Drosophila melanogaster: one gene and its partners. The gene in region 1 interacts genetically with each later gene. Each region holds a gene or a part of one and is shown in the gene's direction. Other genes may lie near its edges.

Region 1 (6,625 bases):
TTTCCAGTTAACTATCAACGGACCGCATAGGGCGCTTCTATTCCGTCCCTTTCTCGCTGCCCACTGACGGCTCTCCTTGTCCTCAGCTGCATCCCGGCAGCGTCATTATGACCATTGCGGCGATGCCTCTTGGATGCAGGTTCAGGTCCTGGTCCAGGTCCTGGCAGGTCCGGCTGCTTCATGCAACGCTCGACTTGGCCCGACCGAACTGGACACACACCGAAACCGAACGAAAGAGACGGCTAGACGGCGTGCGACAGAGAGGGCTGCCGCTCGCATTCAGGCGCAAGCGGATCCAAAACAGAAAATGTCAAATTTTGTAATTTATTACCCGAATCCTGTTTCTGTCAGTGACTCTTTGGGTGTTTCGCTTCAGCAGCGGCACACACGGGGGCATTCAGCATTCAGGGTCGCCGAGCGGGGAAGGGAGAAGTCCTTTGTCACACACTGCGTCTGAATTTGTGGCCCAGTTCCGCACAGTGGTATCTAGCAGATACTTTTTGTAATATTTGTAAGAATGCACAGAACTTCGTTACATTCAGAGATTTCTAGTTTCTAGTCAGATGACTAAATACAATATTATGTGTCAAAGTAATTAATTTTGTTTTTGAATAAATTTCTAAAATATCAGCTTGCCTTTAACGTAAATATAGCCTTTTCTACCTATCTTTATCTGATATAAAAAAGTAGCATTTGAAATGCTGTTGTTGCAATGGTATCGAATTGGTATTAAAGCTCTGGCCCTGTTTAATTTGTATTTGTAGTCAGAGCAACCACTGTACCTTTGTGTGTATCCTTGGGCTTTGCCTATGCGAACGTATTTTGTTTGCCTTTTGGCTGCACTCCGACTCCGTCGACTGGAGTGTCTGTGAATTGACTTTTGTTGCCAGTTGGCAGCGGCAGAAGCAGCAAAGCCCGGCCAACAGCAACAAGCTCCTGCCAGATCCCAAAAGCAAACACGACAATTATTTGGCAAATGTCATTAAAAAATATTTCACTTAAGGCCTTGCGACACTTGCTTAAAGGTCAACTGGCTCGTTGGGTGTGTTTTAAAATGTTAAAGCTTGGGCCAATGCACTGAGCAACTTAATGCTTGTAGATATTTACACAATATTCTTCAACGCTAAACATATCGAATTTTCCAAATATGGAGCCTGAAAATAATAATTGCCAATCCTAGCTTAACATCAGAAATGAGTAGAACAACTTAAAAAAAATTAACAAAAGAATCGAACGCTACAGCTAATTAACTCGACAACTGGTTACCTTTTATTCTTCTAATACATTTTATAATGCACTGCCTAACAGGTACATATAGCAAGCACTATATGCTGTCTTACAAAACGATTATATGATATTTTCTTTCGTACGTAGCCGTTTGAGATCATTTGGAAAAACAAACTCGATCTCCACCATCCTTATTCTTTGTCCCAAGTCCTTATATATCTCGCGATACTAAGATTGAATAATGTAGTTATTAATAGCGGAAGTATGTAACAGAATAAACTACAAAGTGCACATTTTGTTCAATTCAGGCTGGACTGGACTGGAGCATATTAATATTATAATATTAACAAAAATTCAAATTAAACATTCGACACTTGTCTAATTGATTCCTAAATTTGGGGTGCCTGTTTGTTAATTAAATGTTAATATTATGAAGTTCCAAACAGAGCAAAGAGTTTAAGTTTAATTGGTTCTACTTATTTGTTACAATATTCAAGCTTTTTTTTATTATTATTCTCAAATGCAAATCTCTACAAATAAATAAACCTCCGACGTTTTAGAACATTCACCTTTTGTCAGTGAGCACAACCTTTCAATACAGCCCGACAGGGGGCTCTCTACTGCTGTCTCTTCACGCCCCCTGGTGAAAACGCTGTGCACTCAATCGGTTTGCAGCTTTGCCGTACTGTTCGATTAAAAACTTTTAAATTAGAGGCAAACATTTAAAAATAAAATGTCCAAATATTTGTCTAAAATGTATTGTAGACGCTTATTGATTTTTAAATTACTCAAAAGAATGAACATCGAGGGAGGGCCGCCAATTGTGCCATCTCTACATCTCTTCGCTCATCCCTAAATAACGGCACTCTGCAGATGCGAAGCAGTGGATCGCAAAAACGCAAAATGTGGGCGAAATAAGTTCGCGAGCGTCTCGAAAGTAACCGGTTACTGAAAATACAAGAAAGTTTCCACACTCCTTTGCCATTTTTCCGCGCGGCGCTTGGAAATTCGTAAAGATAACGCGGCGGAGTGTTTGGGGAAAATGGCGCAACCGCCGCCAGATCAAAACTTTTACCATCATCCGCTGCCCCACACGCACACACATCCGCATCCGCACTCCCATCCGCATCCGCACTCGCATCCGCACCCACATCACCAACATCCGCAGCTTCAGTTGCCGCCACAATTCCGAAATCCCTTCGATTTGGTGAGTTCCCATCGCAGCAGAGAAGGGCTCTTGTCCCAGGAAAGCTACAGTACAGATTCCCTATGGTGAACAAACAACCAGTGCGATCACTGATGACCATAAACATTTATTGAGCCGCAGCAAATGTGTTTCTAGAACATAGGGCGAAATCTTCTATTATCTTGTTTGTGACTTTTAAAGTATCGTAGCAGAATCTAAAAACCAATTGATATTATTAATCGTTACAGTTAGTATAGTATATAATTGTATATGAATTGTGGGGCATCATGTTATTAGTGATTTGCCGAAATGTTCTAAAAGGTGTTTCATTGAAATGGACGAATGTTAAACCTGTTGCACTCACACCGACAATCAGTAATGTCTATTTTTCAAAAGCCACATCTATGGCCACTGGGTATACATTATTGACTTTATACACTTCATACAACATATTTTCTAAAACAAGCATTGTTGTCCTGCATGATGATTAGTGAAAGTAATATTGCAAGATTCGGTCCCCGAAGCGAATCGTCCTTTCACGTTTTTATATAAAGACAGTGTACCCCTTGATTCTTTGAAGCTTTTCGATGAGCGAACGGGAGCGATAAACTACAACTACATACGTCCGTATCTGCCCAACCAGATGCCCAAGCCAGGTGAGCTCAAAGCCAACAAAGTCAGCCATCGTCTTATCAGATGTCTTTCCCTCAGAGGAGCTGCCCGACTCTCTGGTGATGCGGCGACCACGTCGCACCCGCACCACTTTTACCAGCTCTCAAATAGCAGAGCTGGAGCAGCACTTTCTGCAGGGACGATACCTCACAGCCCCCCGACTTGCGGATCTGTCAGCGAAACTAGCCCTGGGCACAGCCCAGGTGAAGATATGGTTTAAGAACCGTCGGCGTCGTCACAAGATCCAATCGGATCAGCACAAGGACCAGTCCTACGAGGGGATGCCTCTCTCGCCGGGTATGAAACAGAGCGATGGCGATCCCCCCAGCTTGCAGACTCTTAGCTTGGGTGGAGGAGCCACGCCCAACGCTTTGACTCCGTCACCCACGCCCTCAACGCCCACTGCACACATGACGGAGCACTACAGCGAGTCATTCAACGCCTACTACAACTACAATGGAGGCCACAATCACGCCCAGGCCAATCGTCACATGCACATGCAGTATCCTTCCGGAGGGGGGCCAGGACCTGGGTCGACCAATGTCAATGGCGGCCAGTTCTTCCAGCAGCAGCAGGTCCATAATCACCAGCAGCAACTGCACCACCAGGGCAACCACGTGCCGCACCAGATGCAGCAGCAGCAACAGCAGGCTCAGCAGCAGCAATACCATCACTTTGACTTCCAGCAAAAGCAAGCCAGCGCCTGTCGCGTCCTGGTCAAGGACGAACCGGAGGCCGACTACAACTTCAACAGCTCGTACTACATGCGATCGGGAATGTCTGGCGCCACTGCATCGGCATCCGCTGTGGCCCGAGGCGCTGCCTCGCCGGGCTCCGAGGTCTACGAGCCATTAACACCCAAGAATGACGAAAGTCCGAGTCTGTGTGGCATCGGCATCGGCGGACCTTGCGCCATCGCCGTTGGCGAGACGGAGGCGGCCGACGACATGGACGACGGAACGAGCAAGAAGACGACGCTACAGGTCAGGCATGAGTCCACAACCTTTTTTGATCTCTTGATTCTGAGTGTGGCGTTTATAAATTGAAGCTTTAAGCTTTGTAACTTTCAAACTGTCTGGTTTGAGATGTTATTCTGAAAGTACTTCTATTTCCGATCGATGAGATTTGGGAGTTCTCCAATATTTAACATTTAACTTATTAAGTTTTTGTTTTCTAAATTAGACATGGCATTTCTGAAAGGGAAGTACAAGTGTTAAAGATGTATTTTAATATAGAATTTGTATCAAAGGTTAAGATTTCAACCGTTTGAAAGCCCTTAGTTTTCAGGGTTTTTTACTTTTTTATTCATGTAATCACTCTTAATACACTGCAAGTTAAAATAGCATTTCTTTGACCAGAAAAATAAGATCTATGCATTTTAAAAGTGAAAACAGACTCATATGCTGATGAACATTTTTAGCTATAAATTGTAACAATAATTTAGCAATTTCAATCGAATTTATTTATGTTCTAAATGCGTTCGCTCTCTCCCTAGATCTTGGAGCCTTTGAAGGGTCTGGACAAGAGCTGCGACGATGGCAGTAGCGACGACATGAGCACCGGAATAAGAGCCTTAGCAGGAACCGGAAATCGTGGAGCGGCATTTGCCAAATTTGGCAAGCCTTCGCCCCCACAAGGCCCTCAGCCGCCCCTCGGAATGGGGGGCGTGGCCATGGGCGAATCGAACCAATATCAATGCACGATGGATACGATAATGCAAGCGTATAATCCCCATCGGAACGCCGCGGGCAACTCGCAGTTTGCCTACTGCTTCAATTAGCCTGGATGAGAGGCGTGTTAGAGAGTTTCATTAGCTTTAGGTTAACCACTGTTGTTCCTGATTGTACAAATACCAAGTGATTGTAGATATCTACGCGTAGAAAGTTAGGTCTAGTCCTAAGATCCGTGTAAATGGTTCCCAGGGAAGTTTTATGTACTAGCCTAGTCAGCAGGCCGCACGGATTCCAGTGCATATCTTAGTGATACTCCAGTTAACTCTATACTTTCCCTGCAATACGCTATTCGCCTTAGATGTATCTGGGTGGCTGCTCCACTAAAGCCCGGGAATATGCAACCAGTTACATTTGAGGCCATTTGGGCTTAAGCGTATTCCATGGAAAGTTATCGTCCCACATTTCGGAAATTATATTCCGAGCCAGCAAGAAAATCTTCTCTGTTACAATTTGACATAGCTAAAAACTGTACTAATCAAAATGAAAAATGTTTCTCTTGGGCGTAATCTCATACAATGATTACCCTTAAAGATCGAACATTTAAACAATAATATTTGATATGATATTTTCAATTTCTATGCTATGCCAAAGTGTCTGACATAATCAAACATTTGCGCATTCTTTGACCAAGAATAGTCAGCAAATTGTATTTTCAATCAATGCAGACCATTTGTTTCAGATTCGGAGATTTTTTGCTGCCAAACGGAATAACTATCATAGCTCACATTCTATTTACATCACTAAGAAGAGCATTGCAATCTGTTAGGCCTCAAGTTTAATTTTAAAATGCTGCACCTTTGATGTTGTCTCTTTAAGCTTTGTATTTTTAATTACGAAAATATATAAGAACTACTCTACTCGGGTAAATTGTGACTAACTACACATAACTACATACTTAGCCCATATTTCCGTCCCTTTCTAGAATGAACGAAAACAGTATCTGGTTTTCCCGAAAATCTTATGAATTTAAAAATGCACTTTATTGCACATACTCACACATGCCTGCCATAAAATATGATTCGCGATTTTTCCGCGAACACCCGCGGATCATAAAACATTTGCACCAGCTGCCTGTGTTTATTCACCTACCTGAAACCCATACTCTTATCGCCTGATCCTCGCGCGGTCGCACTATTTAGGTAGACACTGTACAGGCAGCACTCGCGGGGCGCCGCCAGGCAACTTGTTGCCCCTATTTTCTTTGATATAAGTTTTGGGAAATCCAGAAGTCCAATAACGGGGCCTATATGAACGAATATTGATTGGGTTTCTCCCAGTTATAGAGTTTTTATTGATCTTGGGCGCGTTTTAGTAGGTGGATTATGGATGTCCTGGGAAAACCAAGCTCTGAATCCATTCTTACTTATCACAAGACTTGTTTTCCTGTGCCCTTCATCACACCTAGTTTAACTACTATAATTAATAAACTACTTTTTAATCCGCCATTTATGAAGATAATTTATAGCATCTATGCATCTTTCAAATATCGCGAGATATCGCAAAGTATTCATAAATTAGTTTTTTATTGATATTGTAAAGCTTTTTAATTTGGTTCAGGTTTTTATTGTAAATACTTTTCACAATTGTGCACAGTGACCCATTAACATGGTTGCGATATTAACTTAAGACTTAAACAAGTTAATTAAGAGTTTTAGCACTTCTTTTCAAAAGATCATGTTTTAATTATGTTTTTAAATGAATCTTTTCGACAATTCTAAAAATATTATTTCGAAAATGTTAATTTTCATATATAACCTAAGTAAAGATATTTTCAACTGTACCTCACTCTCGCCGCGACATTTCCACA
Region 2 (5,099 bases), on another chromosome or scaffold:
GATGGCGCCCATCCTGCGGTTCATTTCCAGTCCACTTGGACCACTCGCCGGTATTGTACTGCTGATTGCAAAACTGCTGCTCGACGGCTGCACAGTAGAGGCGTTTACATTCAACGTAGAACCAGCTGTCGAGTTGTTGGACGAGCCACTGCTTCCACTAACGAGATCGTATTCCTGCAGATAGAGCAGCCCCAGATCAGATGCGCGCTCAAAACAGCTAATCTGGAGTAAGAAATTATTAAATCAGTTACGTTTTAAAACTGAAATCGAGGACTTTACCATTTCCGTGTCCTTTTCGGCCTTCTTAAACTTAGATGACGGCTTCGTAGTCTGCTGCTCCAGACACAATCCCTTGATGGCATACGATTCCGCAAGGATCTTCAGGCTGCGACTTTTATATATATGTAAGCAGAAGTGATAAGTTTTGCAAATTTGCTATTAATTAAGAGTTGATGTGTACATTCATCTTAATTTGCAAGTCCCCACGTAGTAGATGAGAACATTTTGATTAGAAAACCTTTTCCCAACTTACAGGGTCAGCTCCTTCTCGGCAAGCGTGTTGAGTTCTGCCTTGACGAAATTGTCTAGACTCTGCTCATACTCGCCGCAGGCAAAGCACAGCTTGGCCAGCAGCAAATAGGCGTCCAGGGCGATGCCCGCCTTCTGGCCACTCTCACCCAAAGCCAAGTGAAGGAAACGCCGGGCCTCCGCCAATCCAGACTTGGCGCGACCAAAATTTGAGTCTGACGCGAGAGCGTTTTCCTCCAGGTAACTCTCCAGACGAGCTTCCCCCACCAGAAAGTTGGCCAGGCACTCTGTTCCACGAAAGAAGGCAGTCATTCCAGGAGTACCGTCATCAGCGGAAATCTTCTTACCATTGTGCGGGGACCCGGTCTTCAGTTCATCCGTTAGCTCGATGACCCGGTGCCACTTGCCCTCGCTGCGACAGCTCTCAATCAGGGCCTCCACTTTGGTTGTGGTGTTACGCATGTTCTTGTTGGCCATATGTCCACTTCACGGATAATGTTGTCACTCTTTGCTTGCTGTGTGTGCCAGTGCGTGCCTGTGCTCGCTATAAAGCGGGTTCCTAAGAGCCTAAAGCGGATTCCTTCAAGACTAATCAAATTGTTTTGCAAACATTGGAGTTATCTGTTTTCTTCGCTCTTCTTCTTTCTCACATATGGCAGCATCTGTTATCGACAGCAACTATTATCGGTAGTCCCGCTAACAGCGTGCTGTAAAGCGATTTGTGTACCAGTGCTGTTAAGACATCTGTGGTCCGTCCCCTGTTAGCTGCTAACATGCTAACTCTCGGTCAGCTGTTCCATCTTTTTTTTTCCACAAGCGTGTGCAATCCATCAGAAGCTGTTCATATTGTTAATTGAATCGATAAGACCCAGTGTGGTAGCTCTTTCTTAAAAATATGAAACCTCTGCTCGCCAAATAGAACATTATCACATTATCCCTCATATTAGCAAGATGTCTTCATTTTATGTTGTTTTCTTACAACAGTTATGCATATGCATATGTACATACTATTATAAACTTCATTGTTTTTCGATTACTAATTTTTTCATTTTTAAAATTGGCAACACTGGTGGGCTCTGTTAACCGAGAATATATATAAAAATATGTTAGTTGTAAGTGTTTTCTTGCAGGAGACTGACGCACTTATTAGAGCTCCGCGAACGGAATCATATTTTACGGTTTTTTTTTTTTTTTATCAAGAGTGTGGCGAATTTAACGGCAACAACGAAACGAAAAGTGAAAACAAAGTTCAAGTCGCCACTGAGCAATCGTGGGGCTTTCTGGGCGGTAAGTGTTTTGTCCTTAAGATTCATTTTTGTTTTGTCTAAAGGCGCAGCACGTGTGGATTTGTGTGCACACTCAGCTGTTCCTAGGGTTTCTGTTTTTCGCGAGCACACACAAGTTAGCAATCAGTTGGAAAGCTATGAAGAAATGGAAGTAGTCCAGGCAGAGTATTTGGACAAGAGTAGTTTCTTAATTGTGTGTGTGTGCATAAACAAACGTTAAGTGCATTTCAACCTTCTAATAGGATATGGACCAGAAGAGTGGTCCCCGTATACCCTCTCTTATCGAGTTGACTTCCACTTTTGCTTTCAATTTTAGGAGCCATTTAAGCAATCAAATTTGTTTTTCCTGAGTGACCCCTCATGCCAACCGTTCTCGCAGTCATCGATAACTTTTATCGCGTGCCCCTCAGAAGTCAAAGTTAATTGCCAGTCTTTTATTTTTTTGCCCGGCCTTTTTGAGTTTTTGTTGCTTTTCGAATGTGCAATATTTCCATTTGCATTTCCATATACAAAATCTTAGGTAAAACATATATACAAATCAACACAAAACATCCATGTCAGATTCCAGGCTTTTGGCTCCTCTCATTCTTCAAATTTCTTGCCAATCTTTTAGGCTTCGGAGAGCATATTATTCACCCCAACCGAAGGAATTCGTCAAAAGCGGTGGTGGGGGTGGGCAGTTGGTTCCAGGGATAATAATGGTGGGGCGAACGGGTCGGATATGTGGGTTAGCAGTTCGATGCACAGTGGCTCTTTTACCCGAACTGCCAAAAAACAAATCAAACTGTCTTATGGAGCTGCTATAAGTATTAAATTAAAAATAGATTTTAATAGAAAAAGTAAAAATAGGAGTCCACTTCGAACGCTCCCCTGGTGCGCTTTGTCACAAAGTTAACACTTTCCTACAAAACACTATAAAGTGTAATTACGAACTAAATATTTTTTTCATTTTTTCTATCAAGACACTCATTTATTTGAGTATCATGGAAACCGTAGTCAAATTTAAACAAGCCAGAAGATGTTTAAATATATATACATAAATGTTTATATAGATTTGTTGAAAAGTAACAGATACAAGGAAGATTCGGCCACGAAGCTATTTTTTCCCAAATAAAATTCAAAATTAAAATTATTTTCTCATTTTCATGTCACTCCGAATATTAGCTAAAAGTGACATTAAAGGTATTACACGCATGTGGATTATGGTTACAGTGTCTTGTTCTATGAGTTTCCCGTTTATGGAAAGGAAAGTAAGCGCAAAACTGAAAAGTTGAAAAAAGGCGGCTTAACAATTTTAAAGTAGTGGGTGAATGGTTCCCGTTTGCATTCTTAACTTGATACACTTATAAAAACTTTCACTACAGTTTATAGAAAATGTATAAAATTTTAAAAGGAACTACCTTTTTAAAAGTAATTTTTTTCTTATCCTCTGAAAGAAATCAGGTTGCTACTTCCAAAATAGTTAATTACTATTATCTATAGCCATTATGAAGGAACTTATCTAGTAACAAGTTTATTGGTTTTAAGTATTTTGAATTTTCCTTATTTAGGCTATATCATTTTCTCTCAGTTTTTAGGGAGCTATATAAAATGTGCGTAGGACAAGTTAGAATATAAGATGGGTGAAATAGCCAAAAGACCGTTTGTTTCATTGTTCCTGCTGCATTGCCGCTGCAGTTTTTGTCCCGGCTGTTGTTGGTTTAGGTCCCGCAATCCTTTGTTTGCTTCTGCACATTCTTAATCCGCGCCAATGCATCTGTCAACGAGCCGGCGAACTCTCATTAGTGAAGCTTCGTTTTGTAGGCGTTCGTTAATGAACTACCCACATCGCGATGACCTTGATGTGAAAAAATCTGTAATTATGAAGAAAAGTAAGAAAGAAAATAACCAGAAAAAGGTAAAAATCCAGTATTTTTAAAATATTTGGATGGGTACCTTGATGACATCTTAGGAGTCCCAGGACATCTCTAAACTTTGTAAGGCCCATCTGATATATGTAAATATGTTATATTATCTTCTTAGTAGGCTCCCCAAACTGTGCAATATATTATTTGACAACAAAAATAATTGTTACCTTTCTATGTGCATGATGTATTTATTGTAATCTAATTTTTGTGCTCATTTTGGTTGGCTTACATTGTAAAATATTTACATTTTACCAAACGAAATGCTATTTCTGGACACTTTCTAAAAAAAAACGAACCCTTTTCGAAAAATCGCTCCAACACTCTGAGTAGAGGGTAACTGATTGCTTTGAACCTTGTTTGTATCTACATATCTCTATTTGTTTTGCTCTCTGAGCGCTCGTTGACTGGTCAACGAACCTGTTGCTGTTGTTAACAATAAAAAGCAACAAATTAAAAATATTATAGTCGCAACACCAACACTAGATGTTGGCAGTCTATGCAGGTATTAGGGAAATTCAACAGAAAACTTAAACATGGCGATTTGGAAATAAGTAAAAATTAAGAAATTTTGATTAAATAAAAGTGTTTATTAAATGGCATAAGAAATATATTATCTTTACTTTAAGTATGAGGTACCTTATTCTGGTCGCGTAACATTAGTATTACATACATTCCAGTTTGTACCGTCGGAAATTTAAGTCCCTTGCAGTTAATACCATGTAAAATTTATTAATGTGTTGCGGATCTGATTAAGTTACTCACTTATATACCGCAAATTGACTGCGTTTTGCAGTATTGTAATTTAGTAAAACACCTTAAGCATTTTATTTCGTAAAGTGTGAAAAGAAAGTTAAAAATCTTGACGCGAAATTAAAAGAAACAAAAGAGAACGCTGTAGTCGAGCCCATATACCATCAGATACCTGTTACTCAGCTAGTGGAAGTGCAAACGATAAATAATAATTATCAAAACATTTTCAAAAAATGTTGGCGTGACAGTTTTTGGCGGGTTGTAGGCAGTTAATAAATTTACGCTGCGTCATGGTCTCCGGAATCTAATCTCAAATTTTTAGCTCTTCTAATTCCTGTGACCTCGACGTTCATACGAACGGACAGACACTATGCCAGCAAACTAAAACTAACTATTACAAACTATGGTTTGTATTTGGTTTATATTTTTGGTTTATATTTTCTTAAAAATTCCTTACAAAATATATGTCACTCTTACACTTACACCATATACCCTGAATATCCCCAGGTTTTAAGACGTGCCAGTGTTAATAACGTCAGAAAGTCCTGAGCATCCTATTTGCATAACTCCCTAACATTCATTACTTTGATAAAGTAATTTACGTCAAATCAAACACCCAATCAATGTA
Region 3 (7,165 bases), about 15 Mb from region 1:
CTTGAGATAGATGTATGTACATTTTGAAGCTCCCCCAACCAGGCTAAGTGTGCCAGAAAACACCAAAAATCGATGAAATGATTAGGAAAAGAATGCTCAAATCAAAATCTTATATTTTACGGTATTACAATGATTAGGAACGATTGAAATGAATTGGAAATGGGGGGTAAAAAAAGAAAACGATACCGACAGAGAGTATCCTGAGATTGAGCTAGGATTTCGAATGATTCGTTTCGTACTTTTACTTGATCCTTTTTTCTTAGCCGATGCGAGCAGATTGTAGCTGTACTCTAAGAATAATTTCACACTAAGATTAAGTAAAAATTTATTGTTGATATTACATAAAAAAAAAAGAAAAGGAAGACGCAGAAGTGAGATGAACACGGTCGCGTAAACCAAATGAATTAGAATTTTTCTCTAATTTCATAAGTCAATGATCATTATGATGATGATATGATACCGAGGGTAACGATGGTAAAGATGAGTTGAAAATGCTTATGATCTCCAATGTCAATATGTGTAGATTGACGCGATTTGAGCTAATTGAGTGAATTGTTATTATAATAATAAATGAAGTGAAATGAATGGATCGGCAGATCGATCGATCGTTTGGGGCGCAGAAGGCCGCGGTGTTAGTAAATATCATTTAAAATAAATGATAAAAATGTCATTATATATACATAGTTTAAACATGGGATTAATAATAATAAATTAAATGAAAAAGAACCGAAGAAACTGGAATGAGAATTAAATAAAAACGAGTAAACACTGAAATACCGAATTTTAAATACATAAGTTTTGAATCATGCATGCTGCAAAGACAAAGCAAAACCCACACAGAAACCGAAACAAAAGTAATAAAATGAACTTCTATATATGAAAAGAGAAAAATATACGAGAGATACAATTTCAACCAGCTTTTGCAATACTTTTCGGAAGCCCTTCCCCCAACGCCTCTTCCAAAAGAAAGACCCCCCCCCATATCAGCAGCAAAAAAAGACTTCAAATCAGAACCTTTTCATTTCTTAGAAGCCAGCAGCGAATTTTGCAGAAATTCCCAATGGCCATTGGAAGTCAAGGCAAATGCGACAAAGCGGATGCCCTGCAGCCATGGCTCTTTGAGCAACAGATACAGATACAGATACATTTGTATCTTGAGCTTCTAATTGAAACATTACACTCGAACTTCAAACGTTGTCGCCCAACACTTTGAGTTGACCCAAATTTGTTAGCATGTTTTCAAGGTAATGCGAATTTGATACTTTCGTTTTCGTTTTTATTTTTCGGCTTACTTTTGGTCTCATTATTAGTTTTTTTTTTGCACAAGTAGTACCAAAAGTTTTTGATTACTGGCCGCCCAGTTCTATGGGAATCTTGCGCAAGTCTGGCCCGGGTAAACTGCAATCATTTCAATCTGCCTCGATTCGGCAGCCCTCCGACTCCCCGCGCCATTGAAGAAAACTGGAAGTTGAACGACGTGCTCGGAAATATTAATAAGCGGAAAAGCTGTCCCCCCAAACGGCAGATGTCAACAATAGATATTTGTGCCAGGCCATTAGCATTAGCCATAGCCACTACCGTTGGAGGAGTAGAACTTCTGCTGGCTGCCAGTCATTGAACTGCAACTGCTGCCAGTTGCTCGGTTGGATCAGACGACACGACGCACAGCAGCAACATGTTGCTGTCGTAGCGCAACATATATTGTTGCTGCTGCTGTAGCTGCTTGAACGGATCGGCTTGTTCTCTCCGGCGATCGAGTTTTTGGTAGCCAGTTTCAGTTAGGTTTTGAGTCTTCGCGCTTGAAGGTGTGCTGCTCGCGTTTTGAGTGTAAGTGCTGCCGCAAATTCCGGCTTATAATTGCAATTGAAGGCACGTCGTCGCTCGTTTTAGTGTGTTTTAAGTCTGTTTTAGTGTTTGCCGTTCAGGGTACTTGACGACTGCCTGTGTGTGTGTGTGTGTACGTTGTTGGTTGTTGAAATCTGCGCAAACGCATGTAATTCGAACCACAGCGATCTATTCATAGATCCGTCTTATCACTTGAGGGCGCCAACCAAGCCGCCGACCTCTGACCCACAAAGCGTTAAAAATCGGAGTCTTAACGATGCTAATGCCAGCCATAAAGCCAGCCAACCAGCCTTGTGCAATGGCCCCCGGTATCAGAGCGATAAGGCTAACCAGTGGCGAGCCACAACTCTAGACCTGCGGATTTGTGTCGACTGGCATATAGAATTAGCCGGAGCTTCAAGCTTCTGCCGAAAATAAAACAAGCCGCTTCTGGCCGATGGTTACGTCAATTTCGATTCGCGTTCGAGTTCTCGTGCAGGTAAATAATACTACCACAAAAGTGGCAAAAGCAGCAGCACCTCAGCAGCAGTCAAGACAACTTTTGTTTAACACCGCTCAAGGAAACAACGCACACGGACCAAGCATAAAATTAAGCGCGATATAAACTGCAGACCTTATGCCCCACGTCTGTGCCCTTCGCCCGGGGTTTACTCCAGACTACTACCACAAAAGAGCTCATGAAATGCGCATAAAGAATCTCCAATTGACTGGGCCGCGGACAACCACGGTGGGAAGCACTGAGAGAAATGTATGCAGGTTTTTTAGGATGTCCAAGAAAAATACACATTATAAAATCTTATTGGATAAATATAGGCCAAATAACAAATCTAATAACGATTTAAATCTGATAAAAGCATAAACAATTGGAATAAGATTCCAAATAGCTCAAAAGAGGAGTTAAGAGCTGACTGATTCTTCTCTTATTCAGTTCTAGTCCTAGATAGCCACACTCTTTTCTCCCAGTGCACAGGGAGTCACAGTTGAACGAGTTGATTTTTAGTTGCCTTTGCTTTGGAGTCCGAGTGCGCGCATTGAATTTTTGATTTAATTCGTCTTCTTCATCTCGAACTCCGGTTCGCGGCTTCTTTTTTTTTTTGGGGTCTTTTGCACAAGGTTATGCGTCCGCTATTGTCAATACCCCCACCGACAAAACTAACTATCATTAAGTCACATAACACATGCCTTTCAAGCGGATCTCAAATTTTGAACCTCAAGTTTGGCAATTGTGCGACAGTTTGATTTTCTGGGTCTCGCGATGGAGAACTAAGCTCATTTGGGCATTAGTTGTTTGCCAGAAGTTGGAAGCCTTCGAAATCGTATTCTATGCCGAGTCAGAATGTTTAAATCCGTAGAGTGATTGCAATCTGTGAGGTTCATCTGTAAGGTCAAGACAGCTGATTGCAGCATTTAGCAAATATTCATGTGTTTATAAAATGTGCAAACAAATATTTCCTGGAATCGCGCCCATGGGCAGTAATATATGTACTATAGGCAAGTATAGACAAGATGCAGTAGTCAAATGTCTCTTTTTCTTTGTTCCATTCACGGCTAGTTTCATTCAGTCACTCTTCCTGCTGTTTTTTGTTTAGTTTTTGCTGCTGGACAAGTTTAGCGACGCCTACATTTTATGGTTCACGTAAATGGTTAACATTTGAGTCTCATCATGGCTGCGTTTGTGTTTTTTTTTTGTCTGGTGCTGCGCTTCAGTGCGTCGGGTCGACAGGTGTGACTCACAAACGTGGCTAACACCCGGCTAACCTCTGTGTTTTTGGCCCATCAAACACGTCGCTCGTTCTGTGATAACGGCTCGAATTAAAAGCTGCCTCGCCAAGCTGTTAGAATGTGTGTATATGTCTGGCTTGGGCCAATTTGTTTGGCTTCCTTGCCGGCCATAATGCTTGGACAGAAAAAAAAAAAAAAAAAAACAAAAACGGCATAACCGGTCCTCTGAAGTGTAGTGGGCCAACTATAGGAAAACGGTTACGAGGCATGCAAAATGTTTTTAGGAAATAATTTGCAAGTCAAAGCGACAGCCGAACCAATTTTGATGGCTATACTTTGTAGCTGCTTTTACGGCCACAGAGCCTGCGGCTAATTGCATCCACTTAAGGTGATCAGAGTGGAGCTACGCAGAGCTCCAGCTCATCATCACCACCAGCTGGTGGCCTCTACCCAAGTCGACTTGGTCGGTTCAAGTTCAGCGCCACTGAAGGTTCATGGCCAATTAGAGCGCGCTTATATTATCGCCCGTTTATGGAGTGGAAAACAAACACGGCGGCCCTGCAATTATTGCTGTTTAGTTAACCCCACTGTATCGCAACTACTGCACTGGCTATAAAATATAAACAAACCACCGAAGTAGCTTGCTGTAAAACTTTCCGGTTTTAGTCTAAGTGAGTAATGAGTTCGGATGGTATAGCGCTGTTTGTACTTGCTTGTCATCAATATGCACATTGCAATCAAGAGTTATCTAGTCACTTGAATAAATTATTGTGGGATAGATATGCCTCATTATTGTTAAATTGCGAATTTTATAAGAGATCGGAATAGGTTGCGTTTGTTTCAATCAATAATATTTTATAGCAAGGGATTATATGGATATGGAATATGGAAACGTTTGCCTAATTCAAGTGTAATCGCTTTAAATTTGCAATATAATATTTCTATTATAATCCTCTATAGATCTAACCTTGAATGCTGAGCGATGCGGTCGTGGCCTGGCCTTTTCTGGCTGCTGACCCTGGCGCTCCTGGCGGATGGAGGTCGTCGCGAGTCCCAGCTCCGGATCGGCAAGGCCATCAATATATTCCTGCGCTATGGCTACCTGGGAATCTCCATGCGTGTGATACCGCTCAATGACAACTCGGAGCCGGATCGCTGGGTGTTTAAGGAGCCCACCAAAAACATCTATAGGGTAAGGGACTTAAGGCAGAGTTAAGCTTACATTTAATAAATTAAATGGCGTTGATGAACTCGGAATTGTTTGTATTAACCTTTAACCACAATCACCATAATTATTTGGAGTATAATCAAAATTTTAAAATAGGGTTTAAAGTTGTTATCACTTAAAACTATTTTTAGTTGTAATTATATTGTTCACTTCCGCCACGTTTGTCGTTAGAATGAGCGCTTATTATATTTGTTTGATCAGATTTAGGAAAACGATCATTATATACGATTATTCAAGTATGTCACTTGATATTTATTACCTGATAATTGAGCTGACTAGACAATTAGATAATTAATGATTTTTTTCTTTCAGAATCTGAGTGGCCTGGCGGAGAGTCATGAAGACACCACGCCCGGAATCTTTCATGGAGACTTTCACATGGAGTTCTGCGAGAATCGGAGGCAACTGTTCCAGGCCTACTTCCGTGACTTTTCCATTGAGCGAATGGACAAACCGTGGGAGGCATTTACTGGCGGATGGTTTCCGGATAATGCGGCCAAGAAGCTGGGCATCAATACATCTTTCATCCAAGGCGATTACTCGTATGTTTTGGTGAGGGTGGTGCGCTTCAGGGAAACGGGGCGTCTTAACGCTGAGATTCCGGTGCACCAACCCTTGGAGCCGGATGTGCGATCGAGAATGGATCAACTGCAAATCGGAAATATAACTTCCGCAGTGCGATTTATGGAAGATGTGGGCACCCACTACGTAAACTCATACACCACCGGCAATTCGCTGTATCAGGTGTTTGTGTACAGCAGGAAGAACTACAGCATGATCAAGGAGCGAATCAAGAGTAAAGGTCTGAACGGACTGTCCAAGTTGGATCTTTACAACTACTTTGCGCCCTGGTTTGCCGCCCATCTGGGCCAGATTCGATCGGCTAGTGCCAATGCTACAGTGGAAAGATGGGCGAGAAGGAAGCTGCAGTACGAGTACTATGTGGTCAAGTATGTGACCCTGCTGAAACTGCACGGTAATAGTACTCTACTGCGATCCCTGGACTCGCTGCTCGGCAACGATGCCATACTGCAGTTGGACCTCAAGTCGCTGAAGCCCATCTTCCGGGAGGAGCCGGAAAAGGAGAGCTGGTACCACGAGGTTCTCGACAACAATGTGAAGCTCTGGGAGCTTAACATGCCGCAGAGTCATCCCACCCGATAGCTGCATTTTAAATATATATATACTGTGCGATATGTGGCAGCCAAGGATCAATAGTTCCTAGATGCTTAGTTGTAGTTAGGAACCTCTAGTGCGTAGTTAATGTTCTGCCTGTGATAGTTTTAGGTAGTTTAATTGGAACACAGTACACATCCGACTTGCATTTCAGCTAACTAGACCGTAAGATCGCCTTATTGATGTAATAGTTTTGTAAACTTTAATACAAAGTAAAGATAAAAGTAAAAATCTTACTGTTTTCATAACTTGATATTGGCTATTAAAATCTAACTGTTTTCATTACGTAATATTGGCTATGAATATCAAATACTATTTTGAAAGTTTATTTTGAATAATTGATTTTGATTAAGAACCGGTAATCGAAACGGGTAAACGGCTCTACCCGTTTCATCAAGGCTTTCAACCAGACTTATTCTAGTTTTCCACCCTTACGTATTTAGTATATGAATCAAGTATATTTTTAATACCGTGTGGTATATTTCAAACGGTTCAGTTACGCTCATACTGAAATCCGAAATAGCACGTGCGGTTTTTGTATTTTGATTTTGATTTTGGGTGATATATACTGGCATGGATATTTTTTCCAATTGTCCGGGCTTTTGCCCCTCCTGCGGCTCCATTCTGCCCGAGCTTCAAGTCAAGGGCAATGTGATTTGCTACAACTGCAAGAAGGAGTTTCAGCCAGATGGTAAATCCAGAAATTACAACTTTGTTTAATTTATTTAACACTTAAAAATAGTTTACAGCGGCGAGAAGTCCGAGTTTACCATACACTTCAACACCTACGATCCCAGCAAGGTGTTCAACAGGACGAAAAGGGAGTCGGAATCGGACGCGGATGGCCCCGTTGTGGAGAGGAAGTGTCCCAAGTGCAACCACGACAAGATGTCCTATGCCACCCTGCAGCTTCGATCGGCGGACGAAGGCCAGACGGTGTTCTTTACCTGCCTTAAGTGCAAGTAGGTGTCCTGATAAACATATTCCTTCACTTCCACAACTAATCACACACATTCTACCTTGCAGATTCAAAGAATCCGAAAACTCTTAGTTGCTAGCAATGTCCGTGTAAATAGTCCTAGATTAATGAAAATAATCATGCTCGACGGCCTGAGAAATATAGAATTTACCAATTATAATACCTAACCGGTGTCAAACTTGAAGCAGAACCCACCTCGCTGGCCTTGAGTCGGT

What was found. A genetic interaction does not mean that the proteins touch.
Region 2: of bcd (region 1) and bin3, changing one enhances a phenotype caused by changing the other (phenotypic enhancement), as found in Drosophila melanogaster (one study listed by BioGRID).
Region 3: of bcd (region 1) and tsl, changing one suppresses a phenotype caused by changing the other (phenotypic suppression), as found in Drosophila melanogaster (one study listed by BioGRID).

The regions. Positions count from the first base shown.
Region 1 is NT_033777.3:6,754,916-6,761,540, reverse strand, and holds bcd (bicoid), read left to right. Parts: upstream 1-2,074; 5' UTR 2,075-2,269; coding exon 2,270-2,434; intron 2,435-2,971; exon of another isoform or gene 2,972-2,993; coding exon 2,994-3,069; intron 3,070-3,109; coding exon 3,110-4,068; intron 4,069-4,580; coding exon 4,581-4,865; 3' UTR 4,866-5,699; downstream 5,700-6,625. UniProt on the Drosophila melanogaster protein: Segment polarity transcription factor that provides positional cues for the development of head and thoracic segments.
Region 2 is NT_033778.4:6,212,937-6,218,035, forward strand, and holds the start of bin3 (bicoid-interacting protein 3), read left to right. Parts: upstream 1-1,631; 5' UTR 1,632-1,815; intron 1,816-3,260; exon of another isoform or gene 3,261-3,667; intron 3,668-3,749; exon of another isoform or gene 3,750-3,801; intron 3,802-3,888; exon of another isoform or gene 3,889-3,958; intron 3,959-5,099. Other genes in the region: Ttc7 (tetratricopeptide repeat domain 7), read right to left, coding at 1-222, 280-391, 533-815, 876-1,005.
Region 3 is NT_033777.3:21,777,146-21,784,310, reverse strand, and holds tsl (torso-like), read left to right. Parts: upstream 1-1,774; 5' UTR 1,775-1,827; exon of another isoform or gene 1,828-2,323; intron 2,324-2,405; exon of another isoform or gene 2,406-2,593; intron 2,594-4,527; 5' UTR 4,528-4,549; coding exon 4,550-4,759; intron 4,760-5,107; coding exon 5,108-5,959; 3' UTR 5,960-6,197; downstream 6,198-7,165. Other genes in the region: Polr1H (RNA polymerase I subunit H), read left to right, coding at 6,545-6,662, 6,714-6,933, 6,998-7,022; CG6800 (uncharacterized protein), read right to left, coding at 7,098-7,165.